3 linked regions of the Macaca mulatta genome follow. The protein of the gene in region 3 interacts with the protein of the main gene of each other region in a biochemical or structural test. Links are inferred from orthologs where the notes say so. Each region holds a gene or a part of one and is shown on either strand. Other genes may lie near its edges.

Region 1 (3,129 bases), on a different chromosome or scaffold from region 3:
CAGAGTACTGGGAGGGGCTCAGTTGGTCTTTGTTCAGAAAGTCCAGGTTAACCACATAGAAAAATTCTAATCATTCATGTTTAAATGCTAGTTTAAATTTATGTAATTAAAAAAATAGGTATCCCATTTCAAATTCTCTCCCTCCCAACCCCATTTATAAGGTATACCACATGCCTTATACACACTTTTTTTCAAATACTGGTTTGGTATTTAAGTTGCTCACCCCCATCCATCACCAATGTGAATAAGAAAAAATATATAGAAATACAAACTACATAGCTTGACAACTTACCCAAATATAAAATATTTTCAGATAGTTGAACAAGGGGAAAAAACATGTACTAAAAGACTGAAGTATTCTAAGATTTTGGAATATTTTGATTTGGAACAAGTAACAAGTATTTAAAGCAAAATCCTGTTTCTACCCTGGATAAGGAACTGAAACCAAAATCCCTGCTTCACAGTATTTTCTGGTGAGGACAAGGGACGTGGGTTGAGAGTTTATTCCTTAAGTAAGAACCAAGCTTTATTTATTTACAAAAAAAAAAAAAAAAAAAAAAAAAAGTTGGGGGCAAAGGGGAAGACAAGTTTTACACAAAAGTACTACAATGGTAACTCCCTTTGGTAAAAAGTGTAATAAATGTCTTGTACATCTGTTCATAGGTACTAAATCTGAAGCCACATAGTACTATGGTACACAAGAAGCTAGAGCAATTATGCTAGCACATCAAAGCATATTTCTTTTAATAAAAAATTGACAGTATGTACATTATGTACAAAAAAACAAGTTAAAATCGTGTGTGTGTGCATGTGTGTGTCAGAGAGTAAAGCTGGTGGATGGCACTAGGGTAGACTAGTAAAGAGGCAGATACAAAACAGTTCCACGGGAGCTAAAAAGGACGACTGATTTGAACTCGTTGAGGTTGAGAACCAAAGGAAAGGGTAGGCAGCAAGGGATTCGTCAGGAATAAAATCCACAAGATGATCAATCCCAAAGCCAAACTGCAGGTCCCAGATAAAACCTAATGGGTGATCTTAGATGTGCTCAAGTGACCAGAAAAAAAAAAATCAAATCCAGTTTTTTTTTTTTTTTCCTTTTGTGGGGAGGGGAGAGGAGCAGTGACCATGATAGTTCCAATCCATCTGAGTATTAAGTCCTTCCCCAGTCTGTTTTGTAAATGCATCTCCATCCAGTCAAAAGTGTGAACAGCATCCGGTTCCCTCACTGAAAGTTAGGCCACAGGAGACTCCAGTCTTAGCTCTGCTGGTGTGTGCAAGCAAACTGCACGTCTTTGCTTGCAAGGACTTCCTTCCCCTCCAGGGCAGGCTATACCCAAAACCCTTTGGAAAAGTTCCAGCTTCAGCTTTGTAAGGTATTCATGTTCCTAACAGGTAGCCCACTTGGTGCCAGGCTGCACCAGCCACACACAGGTCAGGTGGCCATGTCCCAGAGAGGCCCAGTGAGGCTTGAAAGGCATCTTCCTTGTTTCTTCAGTGTGTGAATGCATAGGCCTACACACACACCCCCACACACACCCCAAGTTATCTGCTCTGGCTTTGCAGTTAAGGGGCTTTGAATACTGTGCCGTATTTGACACGATACTTGTTAATGCTCACAAAATGCAGGGTCTCTGTATCACAGGTGGTGGTACAGGGCACCAGGCCCTCCAGCCCCTCACCCATGAGCCACTTGCTGGTCTCTGCTGCCATTTCACGGGGCACATGCTCCTTGGTCCATTTATCTACCCAGGCCTGGAATCTCTGATGTAGACGCTTGCTTACACGCTCATGGGACTGCAAAACAGAAAAAAAATATTTTTTATTAAATGAAGCAGAACCAAAAAAGAGCCCTTCAAATACAAAGCCTAATCTTCTTCTAAAGGAGCAAAGGAGAGATTGGGCTCAAGTCTTAGATACTGTTTTTGTTTTTCTTTTTAAAAAAAAAAAAAAAAAAGCTTCTCTGTTTACAGAGAAGTTAAAGTAGTAAGAACATAGAACATGTGAGGGCATGAAAATCCATAACGCCTCCAAAGAAATGTGAACACAGGCTCTGGGCTGAAAAAGCTCAGTGTTCTCAATTTTAGCATGCATTAGTATAACCTAGGGAATGTGTTAAAAAGACACATTTCCGACGAGGCGCAGTGACTCACGCCTGTAATCCTAGTACTCTGGGAGGCCGAGGCAGGCAGTTCGCTTGAGCTCAGGAGTTTGAGACCAGCCTGGGCAACATGACAAAACCCCATCTCTACAAAAATACAAAACTTAATCGGGCATGGTGACACAATCCTGTAGTCCCAGCTACTCGGTAGGCTGAAGTGGGAGGACCGCTTGAGCTGGGAGGTGGAGGTTGCAGCGAGCTGAGATCGTACCACCGCTCCCCAGCCTTGATGGCAGAGCCAAACCCTGTCTCCAAAAACAAACATACAAAAAACCCAAAACCCCACATTTCCTTGGTTTTACCAATCTGCTCTAATGTATCCTGGGTAGGACCCAGTGAGCCACTGATCACTTCTATCAGCATGGAGATCGACTTCTAAGCCAGATAGTGCAAAGCAAAGGGCTTAAAACCCACTCTCCCTCCATTGTGTTACCCCACCCTGGCAAGCAGAGTCCAGGCTTGCCAGATCTTCTGCAGGGGGTTCTGTTCCCACCAACACACCCAGTAAAAATTTATTGGTGACCACATGCAAGGATACTAGAAGAGATACAAAAACAAAACTGCTGTTGCCCAGTGTCCCAAATAATGTGAATCAGAGACAGGCAGACACACACACATAGCAAAAAAAATTTGTCAGGCGTGGTGGTGCACACCTGTAATCCCAGCTACTCGAAAGGCTGAGGCAAGAGAATCTCTTGAACCCGGGAGACAGAGGATGCAGTGAGCTGAGATCATGCCACTGCGCTTCCCTCCACGCCATGAGAGAAGTACAGCAGACTCTTGAATAACACGGCTTTGAATGGCACAGGGCCACTGATAGGCAAGTTTTCTTCCACCTCTGCCAACCCCGAGACAGCAAAACCAACCCCTCCCCTTCCTCCTCCCTCTTCAGCCTACTCAACAAGATGAGAATGAGGACCCTTTATGATGAGCCACATCCACTTAATGAAGAGTAAATATATTTTCTCTTG
Region 2 (3,747 bases), on a different chromosome or scaffold from region 3:
AATGTGGATAGCAAGAGTAACTATCTCAAAAGGTTGCTATAAGTGTTACATTAGCCAGGATAACATATCAAGTGCGTAGAACACAGTAGGAATTTAATAAATGGTAGCAGTCATTTATTTTAGGTGGTAGGATCCCCAGACCTGAAAAGTAGTCTTTGCCCAGTAAAGCCAAGAGAAGGAAAGAAAAAGAAGTAGGTGCCAGCAGCCCCACAGTCCTTCATTTCCTCTCATCCAGTCCCAGGCCCCTTCAGAGCTCAGAAGACGATATAGGTGGTCAGAGGAACCCAGTGACCAGAGCTTCGGGGAGAGTAAGGCAGGGGGGCCAAGCCAATCAGAAAGGGGAGGGAGAAGGTGCAGGGTGACAGCCAGGCTCCAGCCATGGACAGGGAGCAGTGAGTCAGGTCTGCAGAGGTATGAGGAGCAGCCATGTGGGTGGGGGGTGGGGGTGGGGTGAGTCACAGCCCAGCCCTGCCCAGCCTAGGAGGAGAGGGCCAGGAGAATCCAGGCTGTTCAGGCCATGGGCAACCCCAGAGGGCTGCTGGGAGAGGATGAAGTATGGGAGCCTAGGCTCAGTTTTGGAGCATGTGTTTGATTTATACAAAGTAGAGAGAATACCCAAGGGAAGCTCCTGGGAAGGCGGGAGAAGGGCAGCTGAGGAGCAGGTTGAGCTAGAACAGGTGGGCATCTGTCCAACCAAATATAGTCATTCCGTGGTACAGTGCTGAGTCCTTGCTCTACCCTGGATAATCTCCTCAGGTCTGGAGGCAGGAGAGCTGGCAGGCTCTGGACTCTGCCCTGTGCCTGTGCTTGGCTACAGCCAAAGAGGCTGGTTGGAGGATTCTACACAGCCCTCCCCATTTGGAGTCGCCTCAGGAAAGCAAGGTGCTCAGTAAGCCTGCAGGTTTCCGGTAGCATTCAGAGATACCCAGCATTTTAATACAGCCCCCTAGAGGCCCAGCGTTCACCATTCACAGCCTCACCTAGGGCAGCCAAGAGCTCCTCATTCCTCTCTGTTTCCCCAATCTGGAGACAGGTGGATGGAGGAGGCTAACACTGCACACTTTCTATAGAAGTGCCTGGGCATCTCCGCATCTGTTACCTCTATTTTATATACAATAGTCATTTGATGAGGGAATTAGAACTGGTGCCCATTTTTACATAGTAGCTCTAGGGAAAGCATCTCAACCATTCCTTGTTCCTATCACTCAGCTTACCCAAGAAGCACGTAAGGACCCCAGACAACTTGCCTGTTTCAGTTTGCCCCAAAGTACCCAGAAGGGCGGCAACCCAGCAGGGGAGGCAATGACAACAGAGAGAGTGGGACCTATATTCCAGGATCCCCCAGTGCCCTTCAGGCCGATCAGCTTTTCCCCGAGGTTCTCCATGAATACTCTCAACCCGCAGTATTGCCCAAACAGCAAGAATCTTGGATCTGCTTATTCTTCAACAGCCCACCCGGGTCCGAGGATGGGCGGCCTCCACACCCACCTCTCAAAAGGTCCAGATCTGCCTCTTGCAAGTCACGGACTTTCCGATCCCGGCCGCCTCCTAGGCGTAGCAGCTGGTCCGTGGATCCAGTGGAAGGGTCCGGGTTGCTGGTTCCAGCAGCTAGCCCTCTCCGAAGCTGCTGCAGGCTCTCGCCAGTCACCAGTGCCGAAAGAACTGTGGGCGAGGGGCCAGGCCGCATCAGACACCCGCCCAGACCCCCGACCAACACGCACCGATGCCGACGCCGGTCCGCCAGAGCGCAAGGGCCCCACCAAGTGGCCCGTGCCGGGTGCGCTGCGGCGACCTTCCCCCATGCCCCCAGCACAGCGCCCCCATCCCCCCGATCTCCAGGGGCGTCGCAGCCCTCCTACCTGCAGCCAGAAGGAGCTTCAGCACCACCGACGGCAGCAGCTTCATGGTCCCGCACCGAGAGGAGGCGGCGAGGCACCAATCACTTTCGAAGCGGCGGCCACTGGGCGCTGGCACCGGAGCTGGGCGGTGGGACTCAGGAGATTCCGCTGGGCACCGTCTGCCGCCGGCTTCTGCGTGCAAGCCTGGCCGGGACCCCGGCGCAGCTCGCTCTTGTTGAGTGTCTGTCTTGGTCACTCCGCCCGCCCGCGCGGCCGCCCGACCCCGCGCGCCTAGGTCAGGCCAGCCAGCAGCGTGGCCCGCGTAGCTCCTTCGGCCGAATGAGCGCTGCCCGGCGCGCGGCCGGGAATAAGGCTCCGGGAGGCGCCGAAGCTCCGCCCCTCCCGGCGCCGCCCCCTCCCTCCTCCCGTGCTGGGAAGCTCGCCCGGCTGGCGGCGCCGGCAGCTCAGCCCCCGACCCCGCGGGCGCGGCGGGGGACTGGGCGGGAGGAGGGGGCGGCGCTCACATTTTTTGGGACCAGGCCGAGGCAGCCGCGGCCTAATTGTGGGTAGGGCTGCTGACCGGCAGGTGGCGGGGAGAGGTTCCTACCTTTCCCCAAACGCCTGTCGCTCTGCAGCCTTGTGACTGACTGCTGAGCTGAGTTCTGTTCCGGGCCTGGCCTCTTGCTTCGTCTCAGCTCCATACCAGGGGTCTCCATCCCTGTCACCCTCTAAGTTTCAGAAGCCCACCTTTTGGCCTACCAACACGGCAAGTATCAGATAATAATTAATTCATTTATCATGTAAAAATTAGACACATGAATGCCAGCCGTTCTCATAAACCCGAGATAACCAGAGTTGAAGCTGCAGGCACTTAGCAAAAGCAAAGGAAGCTAGTACTCTACCAGTCGCTGGAGTGGCTTCCTCCCATCTTCCCTCAGGGGACATTAAGATTTTTGAACTATGGGTTGTAATTCCCAGGCTTCTGAAATTGGAGAGACACAGGTTGTGAAACAAGCCTTATTCTTTTCCTTGCCTTTGACTGCCATCTTTTTCCTCAACATAAAAAATGAGCCTCCCTCCCATAGGACCCAGCTGGCTAACCTAGATTGCTGGTTCACAGGCACCAGGTGTTTCTCTTCCAACCCATGTGCTTTTACAGGGGTCTTCTGGAGTCACTGTCCTGACCAAAGAGATGAGTCTCTCAGTAGGTATTTCAGTTTCCAGGGACGTGGCTGGGGCGAGAGTTGTTTGACATAGGGCTGGGTTGGCTTTCAGAGCCCTGAAATTGTGCCAGATAGAGCACTTGCCTGATTCTGCCTGTGTGTAGGGATAAAAACAGGCCTGCTATTTATACACAGTCTATCCCACTGTCCTTCCCTATCCCCACCTTTGCAGGGGTCAGTCTGGCCCTGCCCTCTTAACTTGCTCCAGTAACCCAGGCCTAGGTTTCCATAGTGCACTGGAATCACTACAGACCTGAGTTTGAATCCTGCCTTTGCTACTTACTGTGTGACCTTGGACAAGAAACTTAATTTCACTGAGCCTCAGTTTTGACATCTCTCAAATGGAAAAAATAATAACAATAATAATAATGACTACTTTGTAGGGAGCTTTTTGAGAAATGAATGCAGGAACACATAAAAGTAGTATAGTGCCAGGCACACTATAAGCTTTCAATAAATGTGACTCATTATTATTGTTGCTGTTAATAATAATCACTAATCACTTGACCACTCTATTTCCTTAGAGGCCTCTTTTCTCTCCCTTCCCTAGATCCCTTGCCTTCCCCAGGCCAGATCTGAGGCTTTATGGTATAGTTGGGCTGGTTTCAGATGGAAGCTCACCTGTCACCTATTTGGCTAAGAGCCACTGTTAGATTATCCTTTTGGGTGATCAGTATCGGGCCTAG
Region 3 (3,747 bases):
CCTGACCAACGTGGAGAAGCCCCGTCTCTACAAAACATACAAAATTAGCCAGGCGCGGTGGCACCCGCCTGTAATCCCAGCTACTAGCGAGGCTGAGGCAGGAGAATCCCTTGAACCCGGGAGGCGGAGGTTGCGGTGAGCCGAGATTGTGCCATTGCGCTCCAGCCTGGGCAACAACAGCAAAACTCCGTCTCAGAAAAAAAAAAAAAAAAAGCGTGTGTGTGTGTCTTTACATACACACACACACACTTATATAAGGGGCCGTACCTACCGTCCTGCCCACAACTGCCCGGTGGACAGGAGGATCTAAAAAACGAAGAAGGATGGATCATTAAGGTATGGAGAGAGACCACAGTAAATATGCTCCCCTACAGCCAGGAGCGCTCATGCTGGGCTGGGTGTGTGAACTCCACGTGTGTCCCACAGGCTCCAAGGAGTCTGCAAGTCCTGTGACCAGGGGCAGCAAGGGATGCCGGACATGGCTCAGAGGCGCTGGAAGTGATATTGGCACCAGCATCTGTGGTGTGAGTTACAACCAGTACGAAGGGAAGACAGGGCTGGGAAACAAAGGCCTCTCCCAGAGCCTGTTCGGGATCAATAAGAGGGCTCCTAGACTCCAAACCCCGCTTAACGAGTGTTAGAAAGACCGCGCAGGCCCAGGGCCCTCCCCGTGTCTGCCTTGCAGCGACCAATATTGCAGTGAATGCACTGAGAGCAAGGAACAGCAAGGTCTCTCCCTCACTCTTCGAACACTGCTTGCTTGCCTCCACCCCCAAAAGAAGCTCTATCAGTTCAGGAGCCACCAAGCTCACGCAGAAAGGATTCACAGGATGGCTGGTCAAGACACTTTTGTTGCCTACCCCGGGGTGGGGACGGAGGCCGTCAAGGGTGGGATGAACATTCAGCAGAGCCTGGCCACCGCGTGCTTTCCCGCAGACACCGGGGCTTCTGAGAACTAGGAGGGAACAGCCAAAAGAATGGAAGCTTGGCGCCCCAAAACAAGCCCTTTGGGTCCTGAGGGAAATCGGGGCGCCCACGGGCAGCCGTCTTCCCCACCCGCCGCTCGGCGCCCGCGATCCGGCCGGCGCTGGCTGCAGCGTCCAGCCGGGCGGCGCGGGGAAGAACCGGCGATAACCCGCCTGAGCTCCGGGGATCGACCGTGCTCTCACACGCCTCCAGTTCCCAGCGACCCCCCACCGAGACTTGGAGACGACTTCAGCAAACTTGGGGAAGCAACTTTTCCCGAGGAGCTAGACGCCTGAAAGATGAAGAGCTGGGCTAGGGACGAGGGAAAGCGAAAGAGACTGGGAAAAAAGGCGACAGTCCGGGCGGGCTGGACTCCGCGGGGAGAGCAGCAGGGAGGCGGACCCGCCCCGCGGCGAAGGGGAAGCACAAAAGCCCCGCAAACGAGTTGTAGGAGGAAAGGCGAGAAGGGGTCTGCCCGCCCTCCCTCTCCGACCCAGGGCCGTGACCCCCGGGAAGCGACCGGCTGGGTCCCCGGCCTCTGGCCAGCGGCGCCAGCGGCCGGCGCGCCCGTCCGAGGCACCGTGCGAGCGTCTCGCGGAGGCGGCGAGCGAGTCGGTGCGGAGCGCTCCGTGCGTCCCAGTGGGTCCGTGGGCCGGCGGGACCCTGCGCATTTCAAGCGCGTGCGGGCGTGTGCGACGCGCTGTGCGAGCTAGCGGCGGGCGCGCCAGGGTGGGAAAGGCATCCCGAACGCATCAGGTGCAGAGACCCGCACCCACCGAGAGCGGCCGGGAGCGCACGGCGAGCTCCGGTGTCACCGCCGGTCCCGTCGAGAGCCGAGGAGGGCCCGGAGCGCTGGAGACCCTCTGGAGCTTCCCTCCCTCCCCTGCAAAAGGGGGGGATCAAGTCCAATCAATAAAAAGCCCACCACGTTTTTTCAAACAGAAACAAAACATAAGCAGTCCCAGTCCTGTTCCCCTCCGCCCCCAGATCTACTCGTCAGCTCCTCCGATTCTAGCTTCCCAGCCGGCCGGCGAATAGACACACAAATAAATAAACCACAACCCTATCTCGCGCCCGCGCACCGGTCCGCATACATAAGAGCACCCACGGGCTCTGTTCCTCCGCTGGCCCCTGGCGGTACAAAGCCTCCGGATCCCCGACCCTCTGCTCACGCCCTCAGCCCCCGCAGACCGCTACGCCCCCCACCTCTCACCCCGACCGTGCCCTGGAGAGGAAGGGCTGGGGAGGCAGCTGTGCCCAGGCTGACAGCCGGGGCTCCCCCTTCTAGCCGACCCCCAACCGGTTGCGGCGACGGCTGCAGCGGCAGGAAGGGAACACGCCAAATAAAAAAGGCACAAGCCCAGCGGCCGAGTGGCCGAAGCGAGCGCGCGCCCCCCAGACCTCTCCAGCCCCGGGGAGCCCCGGCGCGCGGCGCTCGCTCGGCGGTGCGCCTCTTCCCGGCCCCTCACTCACCGCAGCCGAGCCGGGCACTGTGGGGTGGGTGTGCGTGCCTGTCGGGGGGTGTGTGCCTGTGTCGGGGAGGGGTGTTGCTGGGGAACTGTTGCTCTCCGTATCAAGGCGGCAGCGACAGCATCGCCCGGCAGTTCGCAGTACCCGCTCTCATCGCCCTCAACTCCTCTCTGCTGCGAGGTTAGCAAATCACCACCGGCTGCTGCGCCTCCGCCGCGTCCCACGTCAACGCCGAGCCCCCTCCCCTGCAAGGCCCCGGCGCCTCTCCATCTTTAGTGCTGGCGGCCGAGCCCGGCTCCCTGCCCACAGCTGCCCCCCTTCCCTCCCCCCTCCCGCGCCGTCCTCGGGCTCAGCCCGCCCACCACCCCGCACTGGCCGAGCCCGCGCGCGCTCCCCGCCCCACCTCTCCTTTCCCCTCCCCTCCCTTCCCCTCCCTTCCCCGCGCTCCGCGCTCCGGGCTTCGCCTGACATCTAGCTGCTGCTGGGGCGCTGGCGGCCGCCGCTCACCGGCCGAGCGGAGAGGAAGGAAGGAGCTAGAAGACAGGCGTGCAGGGGACGCGGAATCCTTAATAGGGGAACTGAGGGTGAAGGGCGCGCAGGAGCCCCCACCTCCTCCCAAGATTTTAATTTCCATTGGATACGAGTTTTGTCCCCCCTCCCCCGCACCCCGGTGCTCAAGCACGCAGTTTTGTCCCCTCTTCCAATGTTTGCCCCAATTCAGTGTGTGTCATCTCGCCTTTAACTTTTTTCTCATGGCTCTGGGCTGCATTCCCAGTAGCCCCTGACATCTGTTTCAAAAGGCCGCTTTCCTAGTCCAAACCCGGGCCTCTCATCCTTCTGGCTACTGCGCGCCTCCCGGCTTGAGCATCCGGATTTCAAGAAGTCTCCCGAGGCAGAGTTCGAGGGTCCTGGTGAACCAGGTGCCAGAAGGTCCGCGAGATCTGTTGTCGAAGCGAGACGTCCCTTTTTAGCTGTCGCGATTGCTGGAGGCCAAGGTCGAGTCCTGGGAGAAACTTTTCTCTCTCTCAGACTTGGACAGCCTCTCGGCTCTGCCCGCACCCGACCCCCGACCCCCAGCAATCTGGGTGCAAACAGTTTCCGACAACTGCGCCCAGCTCAGTGCACAGTCTTCAGGGGGCAGGGGAAAACTTGGAAAAGCTCTGGGCCCCTCAGAAGTGCGTCCTCCTTCAGCGGGCCGTCCTGCTTTAGAGGGTAGAGAGGCCAAAGAAAATGTACCCTTCCTCTGACTGCAGAAAGCTGCCCTCTCCTCTTTTCCCTGGAGCTCAGCGAAGGTAGGGTGCCAGAGGTGGG

What was found.
Region 1: the proteins of ZBTB16 (region 3) and SIN3A form a complex in vitro, tested with the Homo sapiens proteins (3 studies listed by BioGRID). The link is inferred for Macaca mulatta from reciprocal best matches to the Homo sapiens genes ZBTB16 and SIN3A.
Region 2: the proteins of ZBTB16 (region 3) and HBEGF form a complex in vitro, tested with the Homo sapiens proteins (2 studies listed by BioGRID). The link is inferred for Macaca mulatta from reciprocal best matches to the Homo sapiens genes ZBTB16 and HBEGF.

The regions. Positions count from the first base shown.
Region 1 is NC_133412.1:53,412,405-53,415,533, forward strand, and holds the end of SIN3A (paired amphipathic helix protein Sin3a), read right to left. Parts: intron 1,795-3,129; coding exon 1,564-1,794; 3' UTR 565-1,563; downstream 1-564. UniProt on the Homo sapiens protein: Acts as a transcriptional repressor. Corepressor for REST. Interacts with MXI1 to repress MYC responsive genes and antagonize MYC oncogenic activities. Also interacts with MXD1-MAX heterodimers to repress transcription by tethering SIN3A to DNA.
Region 2 is NC_133411.1:149,204,473-149,208,219, forward strand, and holds the start of HBEGF (proheparin-binding EGF-like growth factor precursor), read right to left. Parts: upstream 2,165-3,747; 5' UTR 1,906-2,164; coding exon 1,860-1,905; intron 1,663-1,859; coding exon 1,489-1,662; intron 1-1,488. UniProt on the Homo sapiens protein: Growth factor that mediates its effects via EGFR, ERBB2 and ERBB4. Required for normal cardiac valve formation and normal heart function. Promotes smooth muscle cell proliferation. May be involved in macrophage-mediated cellular proliferation.
Region 3 is NC_133419.1:114,807,371-114,811,117, reverse strand, and holds the start of ZBTB16 (zinc finger and BTB domain-containing protein 16), read right to left. Parts: upstream 2,609-3,747; 5' UTR 2,440-2,608; exon of another isoform or gene 1,743-2,439; intron 956-1,742; exon of another isoform or gene 861-955; intron 1-860. UniProt on the Homo sapiens protein: Acts as a transcriptional repressor. Transcriptional repression may be mediated through recruitment of histone deacetylases to target promoters. May play a role in myeloid maturation and in the development and/or maintenance of other differentiated tissues.